Diceros bicornis minor: one gene and its partner. The protein of the gene in region 2 interacts with the protein of the main gene of each other region in a pairwise test. Links are inferred from orthologs where the notes say so. Each region holds a gene or a part of one and is shown on either strand. Other genes may lie near its edges.

The links. The genes of interacting proteins can lie anywhere in the genome.
Region 1: the proteins of HMBOX1 (region 2) and C21H8orf33 interact in binary tests that used the Homo sapiens proteins (3 or more experiments, as listed by UniProt). The two-hybrid records come from large-scale screens. The link is inferred for Diceros bicornis minor from reciprocal best matches to the Homo sapiens genes HMBOX1 and C8orf33.

Annotation. Positions count from the first base shown.
Region 1 is NC_080760.1:57,568,591-57,575,144, reverse strand, and holds C21H8orf33 (UPF0488 protein C8orf33 homolog), read right to left. Parts: upstream 2,533-6,554; 5' UTR 2,428-2,532; coding exon 2,422-2,427; intron 2,337-2,421; coding exon 2,291-2,336; intron 2,213-2,290; coding exon 2,043-2,212; intron 1,891-2,042; coding exon 1,806-1,890; intron 1,657-1,805; coding exon 1,510-1,656; intron 1,139-1,509; coding exon 999-1,138; 3' UTR 523-998; downstream 1-522.
Region 2 is NC_080750.1:64,922,836-64,930,282, forward strand, and holds the start of HMBOX1 (homeobox-containing protein 1), read right to left. Parts: upstream 3,015-7,447; 5' UTR 2,885-3,014; intron 1-2,884. UniProt on the Homo sapiens protein: Binds directly to 5'-TTAGGG-3' repeats in telomeric DNA. Associates with the telomerase complex at sites of active telomere processing and positively regulates telomere elongation.

The sequences.
Region 1 (6,554 bases), on a different chromosome or scaffold from region 2:
ACAGTAGTGTCATTCACTGAAAAGCAGAAGACGAAGGGAGATTTAGAGGTTGATCGGATGTTTTGAACATGCCAAATTTGAAATGCCCATGAAACATCCAAGTAGAGATGCTGAGTAGGCAGCTGGGCTCCGGGCTTCTATCTAGTCTGAGATGCAAGTTTGGGAGATACCACCAAAATGGCATCACAGCCACTGAGGAGGATTAAGCCACCTGGAAAACCTGATTCAATGCAGCAGAAGGCCTGGGACTATCGCCTGGAGCAGCCAACATTTAGAGAGGTCATCCACCGAGGCTTAACCCGAGTCTTTGGCGGGGACTGTTAGGCCAAGAAGCTCTCTGCTCCTAAGAACAAAGCCTGGCCTGCTGGGAGCCACACTGGCTCCCTGAGGATGAATTGCTCAGAAATGAAGGCAACAAAAATGACCAAGCACTGGGGTGAGAGCCTGGATCCAGCACTGCCAGACGCCTGCCTCATCTGTACTTCCTCTAGCACACACGGTTAGCACACGCTTTCACTCATCCACTTTTATAAAAATTAGTTTTATTGGGGCAACGTGACATCACGAGAGAAAGCACCACACCATGTGGCAGGACCTCCTTTCCTAAGTGAGCACCAGTGCACAATCACACAGCTTTCCCACCATTCCTCACTACCAACAGCTACTACATCTAACACTAAAGACTGACTAAAATATTCTTTCTATAACATGCTGAACACTCACTTCAGCTTATTGTTGAAGCTTTTCTAAACGGACTTCCCTCTTCTGGCAGGAGGAACAATTCACCTGAAGACCTACAAATGGGGGTCTCGTGCTTGTCTGACAGTACCCAATATGCTGGTCTCACATCTGCCCAAAAAACGGCACCAGACTCACTGACCAGCCAGGGACAGACCAACCCCACATCTGTCCCACAGAGCATTCCTGGAAAGGCTCTGCACCCAAGATAAACCCCCACACCACTCACGGAGAGGGACTGTTCCAGGATGGGGGAGAGGCTAAAAGAAATTGAACCTAAACTCTTCATCAGGAGTGTCCAGGGTGGCCTTGGCTCCCCCTGCTAGGTGAGGCCTGCAGACCCTTCCACTCTTCTTTCTGGCGGCCTCACCTACAGGCTGCACCTGGGCTGACTGGGCTGCTGCGGGAGAAGAGAGAGACAGCATGAGGACTGAATAACAACAGCTAACATTACCTCTGCCCCCACAATTCTAACTGCTTTGTATAAATTTAACTGACTTCTCAAAATTATGAGGTAGGTAGTATCATCACACTCCTTTTAGAATCAAAGAGTAATTCACTAACTCTCCTGCTCGTCTCCCTGGTCTAGGCCCAAATTCTGTGTTCCCGAGGTCCGAGCTTTCTCATTCCCCGCTCCCTGAGGTTTCCCTGAGCCAGTCTCCTCCTCCCGCCAGCCATGTGGCTCTAAGCTTCTTTCTTTCACTCCCTAGGCTCTTCTTCCCCAACCCTTGAATTAGGCTGCCCTGAATCAACCAGTTCCCGGGTCCTCACCAGTCCGGAGGGCCCGCAGGGCTTCGCGCCACTCGCCTTCCATCTGAGCCCTGTAGTCCCCAAACAAGGAGCGCATCAGCTGCCTCTTCCGGGGCAGGGGGGTTCTTTCGCTGTGCAGGGTTCGGATTGCCCCAACAGCCTGCTCTCCTGCGGAAAAAAAAAAGGACTAGTGGCCTCCTCTATCCTCTCCTCCTATCGTCCTACCGCAAAGGCAACAATTCCACCCGGGCAGCACCTACAGCCCAGAGCACTGTCACCATTCACCGCCCCACCAACTCTACAGACGGGCCCCTCACTCTGTCTCGGGCTGGGTCTCCGCGTCTTGAGGCCTAGCTCCAGCTGCTCCACGCACCAGGCCAGTTCCCGAGCCAGCTGCTCCGCCTGTGATGGATGGGGGTAGTGGCTGCGAGAGGGCCTCCAGGCCCACCCCACAGCGACCCCCACGCCCCCATCCCATCCTCCGCCACCTCCACCCGCAAATCTGAGCGCACACCGCGGGCAGACTCCACCCTCCCGACCGAGGCCGCCCTTGCCTGGGCCTCCGCGCTCAAGGGTGCTTCCTCTGGGGCCGGCTCTTCGGGGGCCTTGCTGCCCGGATTCGCCACAGAGGGCCCCTTCCGGGTTTTCTTTCTCTTCTTCTGCTTCTTAGCGTCCGCCTCGCCTCCACCGCCTACGGGGCGCGCGTCCCCGCGCGCGGGGGGCCCTGGGCGGAAACGGACCGGGTGGGACCCTACAGCGGAGGGACCCGGGAAGCCGGGGCCGCGGGGCGCGCGCGCGGTACCTGGACCTGGGGCCGCCGCTGTCTCCCGAGCAGGATGTCCCAGGGCCTGGAGAAAGGGGGCAGCACGAGGATCACGGGGGCCGCCACGGCGCCAGGCCCCGCCGCCCGCGCGCCCTCCCCGCCCCGCTCACCGCCATGCGCCAGGTCGCCGCCGGAACCCACGTAGGTCCTCGGGTCCCACGCCGAATTCGCTCCTCCAGCAACGCGCCCGCGGCGCAGCGTTCCGGGCGCGAGCGGGCGGCGGGCGGCGGGCGGCGCCCGCCCGGAGCGGAGCCAGGCCCAGCTCTCACTCTGTTGTGGCCCCGTCGATCCTTCAGCACCTCACAGCCGCCTCGTTTGTTTTCCCTGGCGGTACTAGCGCCTCTTCAACCCCCAGAACCCGGCAGCAGGTCCTTGAAGAACCTGAGAGAGGAAGGTGTGGAGGACCCAGGCGGCCCCGTCAGCGGTCCCCGAACTCCTCTCCGCGCCCCGCCCTGGCGTGTGGTGAAGGCTCCCGGGCCCCGCCAGCTCTCCCGCTGTCCGCGCCTCCACGGCCGCTCAGACCCCACGCCTCGCGTCCACTCTCCGCCACCACGGCTGCGTCCTCGCTCTTGAGACACACCAGTCTCCGCTAAAACGATGTTTGCTCGGCCTGCTCTCCTAGCCTCCTTGGAAAATGTATTACCACCTTCATACGTGCAAATATGCAGTCAATTCTCATTATGTGAGGTAGTTCTATGAAGTGGCTGAGAATACTGAACCATTGCTTCTAGGGGAAATACAGTTCAGTTCCTGGCAGCCACCGTTCATGATATTTTCAACAACCTTGAAAATAACCTTGTTTTACGTGTGCTTCTGTTAAAGACACTTTTTAAAATATATGTAGTTGATTTACTAACATTGAGCTCATGGCCAACAGCACTATGACTCATGCCTGAATGAAGTTATCTGGACACATATTTCCTCCGTGAGGCACATCACAGCCTTCTTGCAGTTAGGAACACTAGACAGCACTTCAGCACTATGCTTGAGGGCCATTTTAAACAGCAAAAGCACCAACAAAAAGCACAAAAATGCAAAAAGTGTGGCACTGAATATACTGTGACAAGGACACAGGTTTACAATATAAGAGCTGAAACAAGAAAGCAGAGTGTCACCTTGGTCAGCCTCAGCTGTGAAGTCTGGTGACGGATTTTTCACTGCTCTGTGAATGTCCGTGAATGACCATGAAAGCACTAGTTTAGATTTTGGGGTTACAAATAAGTTCTAGCAAGTAGGCAAATTTGCAAATATGGAATCCACAGTAATGAAGATTGACTGTATATATAAACGTATTTTAAGGTAAAAATCATTAAAATGCATGTATCTACCACCCAGTTTAAGAACCAGAACATTATCAATATCTTTGAGGACCCTATGTGCCCTTCCTTCCAAGGTCATAATCCATTCCTCCCTTCAGAGAAAACAACTACATTGAAATTGACCATTTCTTTGCTTTTCTTGATACTTATATAACACAAATATGGATCTCTAAACAATATTGTTTAGTTTTGCACGTTTTGAACTTTAAATACATTAAATCATCTGTATGTGTTTTTTTTGTTTTGTTTTGTTTTTGTTTTTGTTTTTTGTGAGGAAGATCAGCCCTGAGCTAACATCCATGCTAATCCTCCTCTTTTTGCTGAGGAAGACCGGCTCTGAGCTAACATCTATTGCCAATCCTCCTCCTTTTTTTCTCCCCCAAAGCCCCAGTAGATAGTTGTATGTCATAGTTGCACATCCTTCTAGTTGCTGTATGTGGGACGTGGCCTCAGCATGGCCGGAGAAGCGGTGCCTCGTGCGCCCCCGGGGATCTGAACCTGGGCCGCCAGTAGCGTAGTGCACGCACTTAACCGCTAAGCCATGGGTCCGGCCCCTGTATGTGTTCTTAAGCTTGTTTTTTCCTCAGTATGTTGTGAGGGTTATGCATGTTGCTGTGTACAGCTGTAGTTCATTGTCTTCACTGGTGATGATATTCCACAGTATAAGGAGACACATCAATAAATATTTGCACTTCTTCCATTTTTTTGCTATTATTCACAATGCACTAGGAATATTCTTGTATGTCCCCTTTGTGCAGGAATTTCTCTAAGATATATCTAGGAGTGGAAAAGCAGAGTTGTAGGGTTATCCACATTTTCTACTTTCCCAGATAATATCAGCATCAATTTTCCAAAGTGGTTGTACCAGGTTACACTCCCACCAGCAGTGTATTAGAATTTATATGTTCACAGCTTCACTATTTGGTATTATCAGACTTTTAAATTGTCAGTGTGATGGGTGCAAAATAGTATCACACTGAGATTTTAATTTTCGTTTTTCTGAGCATCTTGTCATAATATTTATTGGCCACTAATGTTTCTCTTTCTATAAAGTTCTTGTTTATGTCTTCTGTTCATTTTTCTATCTGATCCACTGTTTCTTATTGAAGGCATAGAAGTTATTTACATATTATAAATATTCATCTTTTGTCAGTTGCATATGTTATAAACATCTTTTCCCACTCCGCAGCTTGTCTTTTCACTTTCTTTATAGTGTACTTTGATGAAAAGAAATTCTTATTTTTTAACAACATTGAATGTATCAATCTTTTTATTTCCCCTTTTTGTGTCTTAAGAATTTTTCAACTTGGGATCATAGAGCTAACTTCCTCTTCTAAAAGTTTATGGTTTTGCCTTTCAAATTCAGATTTTTAGTCTAACTGAAATTGATTTTTGTGTCCATGTAAAGTAGAATTCAATTTTATTTTTAAAATATGGATAATCAACTTTCCTAACCTCATTTGTGGAATTCTGATCTGCAAAGCCACCTCCATCGCAGCTCATTTCCACATATACATGGGTGTGTTTCAGAACTCTACACTTTGTTCCATTAGGCCTTTGTATGTCCCAGCACTAATGCCACTCTGGTTAACTGCCAACCTTTATAAGTCTGATATTCAAATGAGCTTATTCATTTCCATTAAAAAATGGAAATGTCTCCTTGGACATTTTTGTGAGATGAGTTAATTCTGTAGAGCATTTTGGGAAGAATTGATTCTCTGTATTAAACAATCATGAATCTAACATGAACCTAGTATACCTCCCATTTAATTAGGTCTTCTTCAATATTTTTCAACATTCAATATTATATTTCAATAAACTTCAATAAAGCTTTATAACTTTCTCCCTAAAAGTCTTTCACATTTTGTAACTAATCCTACATATGCTATTTTTAAATTGCTATTAGGATTCAAATTGGGGCACAAATCATATGTACACTTATGGTATAATAAGAAAAATATTTTATTTTTGTCCTTAGTTCATGGCACAGAGCTCCAAAACCCCTTGGAATTTCCTGAGTGATAAGGATGATAGGAGCATCTTTTGTTCTAATGAGATGACTCTTGGCCAGCCCCTAGACAGCTTCAGGATGGGGGCTGGTCACCAGAAATACTAAGCCTTATTAGAAACTTGGAACTTTCAGCCCCACCTCCCAATCTACAGGGAGGGGAGAGGGGCTGGAGACTGAGTTAATCATCAATGGCCACAATCATGCCTACATAAGGAAACCTCCATTAAAACCTCTAAACGAGGTGATCTGGGGAAGCTTCTGAGCTGGTGAACACATCCATGTGCTGGCAGGGTGGTGCACCCCACTCCACAGGGACAGAGGCTCCTGCACTTGGGACACTTTCAGACCTCCCCTATGTACCTCTTCATCTGACTACTGATTTGTACCCTCTGTAATAAACTATAATAGTAAGTATAGCATTTTCCTGGGTTCTGTGAGTCATTGTAGCAAATTATTGAATCCGGGGTGGCGGAATGTGGGAACCCCTGACTTTGTAGCTCAGTCACACAGAAGTGTGAGTGCCCCAGGCACTTGACACCTGTGACTATGTCTGAAGTAGGGACAGTCTTGTGGGCTGAGCCCTTAATCTGTGCAGTCTGCACTAACTCCAGGCAGTTAGGGTCCGAGTTGAGCTGAATTATAGGACTCCCAGCTGGTGTTGGAGAAGACACCATGTATTTGGTGTCAGGAAGGAAAAAACCACAATCTTTAATGATTTTCTTGTCTGTCTGATCTACCAATTATTGAAAAAGGCATGTAACACCCTCCCACTATGATGGTGAGTTTGTGTATTGCTCTTAGCAATTCTACAATTTTTGAAGTATATTTAAAACTATTTTATTCTGTGAATTTAAAATATTTGTATCTTTCTGGCTAAATGAACATTTCAGAATTATGTAATGGCATTCTGTTA
Region 2 (7,447 bases):
AATGTATAACATAAATAAGGACTCTTGAAACAAAAGGACTAGATCACAAAAGAAATTTTAATAGATTTCTACATAATATTTGCTAAGCTATTTATTCAAAGTGAAAGAGTTGTAGGCAGGTGAGATGGAGGTAAGCAGAAGTAAAAGTACTCCCGAGATCTGACTGGGAAGAAGAGGATAAGGTGAAAAAGGAAGAGAGGCAGAAAATAAAAGTACTCCAAAGGTCTCACCTTTTCGAGGTCAAGGAGATACCAAGGCAAAAAACGAGCCTCTTTCTGGGAAAAATAGTATTTTGTTTTCAAGTAACTGCAGGGAACTATTTATCAGTGAAGGTATAATTTTAAAGTCAAAAGTACTTAGTAGGATAAAGAGAAAGATTATACAATTATAAAATATACATACAGTTTATGACCAAGATATAACTTATAAACTTGTATATACCAAATAACACAGTAAAGCTTATTAGAACTTTAATAATTTTATTTTTTAAAATACAAATATACTGAATTATTTCAGTATACCTTTTAGAATGGACAAATATAGTTGGAAAGAAGAAAAAAACAAATTTATATTATCAATAAACATAATTTTTACAAGATACAAAAGATACCTTGTAACCCTCTAACAAAGAACAGATATTTTTTCTTATGTTCAGCACCATGATTGATCATAAACATAGTCATAATGAAAGCTTTAACTAATTGCAGAGATATACAATCTAAAAAATTTAGAAAAATGTACAAAAATATCTTTACTTTTAAACTACGAAGTGATTTTAGATAATCTTTGGATCAAAGAGGAAATAAAAAGGGAAATTATGATCTACATAGTCAGCTACAACAAAAAAATAGAATCATAATTAAAACCCAGGTGACCCAGCAAAATTTGTATTCAGAAGTAAGCTTATTGGGCTGGCCCCGTGGCTTAGCGGTTAAGTGCTCGCACTCCGATGCTGGCGGCCTGGGTTCGGATCCCAGGCGCGCACCAACACACCGCTTCTCCAGCCATGCTGAGGCCGTGTCCCACATACAGCAACTAGAAGCATGTGCAACTATGACATACAACTATCTACCGGGGCTTCGGGGGAAAAATAAATAAATAAATAAAATTAAAAAAAAAAAAAAAAGTAAGCTTATGGCCTCAAAGACTTTTAATATTTTTAAAAGGCAAGGGGGAAAAAAAACTCAGTAAATAAGAAATTAGAAAAATAATAAAATATATCAAAATAAACTAAGAAGAGAAACTAAGAGATACTATTTGGAATTAATATAAAGTAGTTATACAGAGGATACTTAAGTCTAAAGCTAGCTCTTTGAAAGACAATCACTCAGAGTCTAATAAGGGAGTGAAAAAAAAAAAAAAGACCGAGAGAGAAAACTCACAAGATTCAGAAGGAAAAGAGAAATACAACATAAGCACAGAAGAGAATTAAGAAAACAAAACTAAGAGAACACAAATGCGATTTCATGGCAATTCATCTGAAAACCCAAAAGACAAGAATGATTTCCCAGTAAAAGAGGAAATATCAAAACTGACCGGAGAAATGAATCCTTGAGTAAAACCAAATACCATAAATTAAAGGTAATTAAAAATCTACTATAGAAAAAGACATCAAGACCAGCCAGATTCTCAGCAGATTCTTAATCTTTAAAAAACCATTTTAATAATATTAAATCATAGAAAAATACAGAAAATGTTCCAATTTGTTTTATGAAGTCAGAATAACTCAATACTAAATCTAACAAAGGTAGTACACAAAACATACCATAAACCAATTTCACTTAAAAGTTAAATGTAGGGGCCAGCCTGGTGGCACAGAGGTTAAGTGCGCACGCTCTTAACCTGTGAGGGTTTGCAGGTTCGGATCCCAGGCGCGCACTGACGCACTGCTTGTCAAGCTGTGCTGTGGCAGTGTCACATGTAAAGCAGAGGAAGATGGGCATGGATGTTAGCCCAGGGCCAATCTTCAGCAAAAAAGAGGAGGATTGGCATTGGATGCTGGCTCAGGGCAAATCTTCCTCACAAAAAAAAAAAAAAAGAAAAAGAAAAAGAAAGAAATGCAAGAGTGGTTCTTTTTTAGAAATCAACATAATCCAACATATCAACAAATTAAGGAGAAAAACTCATATGATTATAACAACAGATGCTGAAAAGGAATTTGGTAAAATTCAGTAGCCATTTATAATAAAAGCTCCATTGAAAAGAATAGAAAAAAATTAAACATTTTTGGGAAAAAAAAACAACAGCAAATATCCTAAATAGCAAAACACTAAAAGCATTTAAAATAAAATTAAGATGGTATCCACACACAATAAATATATATCTATTCAATGTATGTATGTGTGTTTATATATATTTCTATATTTATATCTATATCAAGAACTTGCTTCTACATGGAAATTTGATGGTCTGTGGAAGAGTGGTTACTTTGAGTACAGAGTGGGAAACGGACAGATCAGGGACAGGGTGGGAAGGAGACTGTTCACAGGAAACTTTTATTATTTTAACTATATGAATTTTATTACTCATTCAATAAATCAAATGAATAAAATCAGGAATTAAAGCAGGAAGCCCTCTAAACCCTTTATAATTCAACACTGACTTGAAGATGATAGCAAACTAATAAGACATGAAAACAAATTAACTGGCATAAATATTAGAATGGAAAAGAAAAATATATTTTTGTTAATGATCTGACAGAATACAGGCATACCTCGGACATATTGCAGGTTCAGTTCCAGACTAACCACAATAAAGTGAATATTGCAATAAAGCAAGTCACATGAATTTTTTGGTTTTCCAGTGCATATAAAAGTTATGTTTACACTATACCGTGGTCTATTAAGTGTGCAATAGCATTATGTCTAAAAAACAATGTACGTACCTTAATTTAAAAATATTTTATTGCTAAAAAATGCTAACCATCATCTGAGCCTTCAGCAAGTTGTAATCTTTTTGCTGGTGGAGGGTCTTGTAAAAAATGCAATATCTGCGAAGCGCAATAAAGCGAAGTGCAATAAAATGAGGTATGCCTGTACCTAGAAAACACAAGCAATTCTAGTAAAGAAAAACCCTGAAATTAATAAAATAAATTATAAAGCAGAGGTATGATAAATACATAAATAAAAATTTTCCCTAGTTTAGCAGGAAACACCTAGAAACATAATGGGAAAAATATTTCATTCACAGTAGTAACTTTTCCCCAATATTTATAAATAACTGTATTGAGAAATAAGCTCAAAAGACCTTTTTATTCAAAAATAGTATCTTAAAGTTATAAAGGAGAAAATCCAAGAACCACCAAGAAAATTGAACAAAAGGAGAAAACCGTAAGTGGACTTCACTAACCACATATCAGAATATATTCAAAAGACATGTCAGAAGTCCCCCCTTATCTGTGGTTTTGCTTTCCGTGGTTTCAGTTACCCTTCAGTCAACCACAGTACCAGAATATTAAATGGAAAATTCCAGAAATAAACAATTCATAAGTTTTAAATTGCCCTCCATTCTGAGTAGCATGATGAAATCTCGTGCTGTCCAGCCTTGTCCCGTTCTGTACACAAATCATCCCTTTGTCCAGTGGATACCGTATATGCTATCCATGAGTCAGTCAGTAGCTGTCTTGGTATCAGACTGACTGTCAGGGAATTGCAGCGCTTGTATTCAAGTAACCTTTATTTTACTTAAAAATGGCCCCAAAGTGTAGGAGTAGTGATGCTGGCAATTCGGATATGCCAAAGAGAAGCTATAAAGTGCTTCCTTTAAGTGAAAAGGTGGTAGTTCTTGACTGAATAAGAAAAAAATCATATGTTGAGGTTGCTAAGATCTATGATAACTTTTATTACAGTATATTATCATTGTTTTATTTTATTATTAGTTATTGTTGTTAATCTCTTACTGAGCCTAATTTATAAATTAAACTTTACCATAGGTATGTATGTATAGAAAAAAACACAGTATATATAGGATTTGGTACCATCCAAGGTTTCAGGCATCCACTGTGAGGTCTTGGAATATATCCCTCGGATAAGGAGGGATTACTGTAATCAAATCAATATGGCACTAGCATAGGAATAAACACACACGAGTGGAACAGAATAAAGAACTTAAATATAGATTCCAGCACATATGAGAAAATGTACAAGTCAAAAATTAAATAGTATTTCAGCAGGAAAGGATATTTTTAAAACAATCACCACAAAAATGGTTATCATCCAGCCAAAAAAAATTAGATCTTTATCTTACATTATATATAAAAAAATAAAATTCAGGTGAAATAAAGGCAAATGTAAAAAACAAATCACAGCAATACATTCTACAACAAAATTTATAAGATGACATGTCTCCTAAACATTCTTAACAAAGAGCAGAAACTTTAAAAGATAGACATAAAAAGTTTTAAATTTCCTATTATGAAAAAACCATAAACAAACTAAGCAATTAAATCAGAAAAAAATATTTGAAATGTAGAGAAAGAGCAGATCCAATTGGTCAAGTTTATAAAAAATACTCAAACTTACTAGAAGTCAGGTAAATAACAATTAGTTTAACAATGAGATATCACTTTAGGAAAAATTTTAAAGATTGATAATATCTCCTCAAAAGGGTACTATCGTATTTCATTGGCCTAAATGTGAATTATGACATCCTTTTGGAAGGAACTCTGGCAACATATATTAAAACTTAAAGTACTTACACCTTTAACCTGCCAGTCCTGCTACTGGGAATCCATCATATAGAAATAAAAGTAATCATACATAATACGTACAAGGATGTTTATTGTCATGTATTTTCCAACTTCTTGTCTCCATAAACAGAGTTGTTTCAATCAATACAGGAACGGCTGAATAAATTACAATATACTTTGACCAATTAACACAATGCAATCATTAAAAAGAATAAATCAGAGTTTTATCAGGTGATGGTGGGATTTGCACATTGCAGTGTTGAGTAAAAAAAAAGCAAAATACAATCAAATGAGTATAACGTGATCAGGTTTAAAAAGAAAAACTACAGGGGCCGGCCCAGTGGCACAAGCTGTTAGGTGTACGCGCTCCACTGCCGCGGACTGGGGTTCGCCGGTTTGGATCCCCAGCACGCACTGACGGACCGATTGTCAAGCCATGCTGTGGCGGCGTCCCATATAAAGTGGAGGAAGATGGGCACGGATGTTAGCCCAGGGCAGCTAAACATCCTAAATCCTCCTCAGCAAAAAAAGAGGAGGATTGGCAGATATTACTACAGGGCAGAACTTCCTCACTTTTTAAAAAATAAAAAATAAATAAATAAAAAGAAAAACTACAATAAAAAATCCCTTTATTAAAATGTACATGTCTCACATGTATATATATATATATACATACATACAGATATCAAAGTACATGATCATGGAGGAAAAAACAGGTGGTCAACAGGTAATGGAACTGGGTAAAGAAAGGGTGTGTGTGTACAGAATATGGGTCAGGAAGGATAAATGCATATATGCAATAGATACACGCACACACTTTTATGCAAGAAAACTGTAAAAATTTCTACTATCATAAATGGACTCAATTATTAAATGATTAGTTTAGGGTTGTCAAAATCCTACACAAAGTCAGGTTGAGCAATAAAGAAGGTTACTGTCAGCATTGTTGACCCTCGAAGAAAAATATAACCCAGAAAATTCATTAGGAATAAGAACCTGTAGATGCTGTGTTACCCACAGGTGGTAAGAAGGCTCCTTTTTACCCTAGTTTTTCTCTTTAATATAAAAAGTAATAACTGCGTAAGGTAAAGAAAAACGTGAATTTCAAAAGACTTAGAGTAAGTCTCCCACCCCAAATCCCTTTTTGTCTTCTATCCAGATACTGTTTACAGTTTCTTCATACATCTTTGCATACATGTGAGTATAACTTGGGGATAAATTTTCTTTAGTGGAATTGTTATGACAAAGAGTATATACATTTTAAATTATGATAGATTTTGTCAAACTGCCTCCCATAGAGACACCAATTTATGCTCCCACCTTTGGGAAATACTTAGTTATGAATCCAGTATGTCAGTGGTGATCAACAATTGAATTTACATTATGCAGTTCGGCATGTATCTGTTTCCCTCAATAACAGTAAACACAGAAACAGCAGAATATTTAAACCAAGGAAGAAAGAAAATAAGAAACAAGGAGTGTAAAGCTTTAGGAAGAAAGCAAAGCATAAGAGAGAGTAGAGAGTTAGCTTTGCTACAGCAAAGGCAGCAAGCAAGCCATCAAAGGGAGAGGTGGCAGGGGACATTGCAAACATCAGTTAGTGAGACCCTTAAGCCCAGATTTGGATACCAGAAGTCTGAAACAGCCATTACAGAGCCCCTTTTACTGCTCTTTTAGCACTTCACACAGAATCCAGTGTTATCCACCTAAAATACCTATTTAAAATAAAACAAAAAATGTATTAAAATACAGAGGCAGAAAAGCCTCACAATCCCTTAACTTAGATACTATTAGTACTTTCAATTTACAAATGAGGAAATGCACCTTCTTCCTGACTAGATACACATCTAAAAAAACACACACACACAAATATATAAATAAACATAACACATAGAGGTAAAAAAGGTCTGAAAACTCCACTAGAACAAATAAACAGTGAGCATCCTTTCCTTTTAGCTCTCAGTCCTTTTTTTTTTAAAGTATAGTTGATATACAATATTATATTAGTTTCAGGTGTACAACGTAGTGTTTCGACATTTATGTACATTACGAAATGATCACCACAGCAAGTCTAGTAACCATCTGTCACCACACAAAGTTATTATAATATTAATTACTATATTCCCGATGTTATACATCACATTTCCATGACTTATTTTTTTTTTTAAAGATTTTATTTATTTTTATTTTTTCCCCCCAAAGCCCCAACAGATAGTTGTATGTCATAGCTGCACATCCTTCTAGTTGCTGTATGTGGGACGCGGCCTCAGCATGGCTGGAGAAGCGGTGCGTCCGTGCGCGCCCGGGATCCGAACCCAGGCCGCCAGCAGCAGAGCGCACACACTTAACCGCTAAGCCACGGGCCGGCCCTGTGACTTACTTATTTTATAACTGGAAGTTTCTGCCTCTTATTATTAGCACTCAGTCCTTCTGTCCAAAGATAAATACTATTAAGTTTCCTGTGAAGCTTTACGAAGATAAAAATTAAGAAATAAATATACATAGACCTGCATATATCTAACATACAATTCTTATTTTTAATGGTGGACTTGAAAAACTTTTTATTATGAAAATTTGCAAACATATAAAGGGAGAGTAATAGATGCTTAAATACCCATTACTCAGCTTGAATAATTAACAATTTCCCTCCCTGCTCCCCTGTTCCAATGGGTATTTTCAAGAAAATTTCAGACATTTTATCATTTTAACATACAATTCTTAGCAAGCTTCAATATCTGGTTTCCAAATCCAGAGTAGACT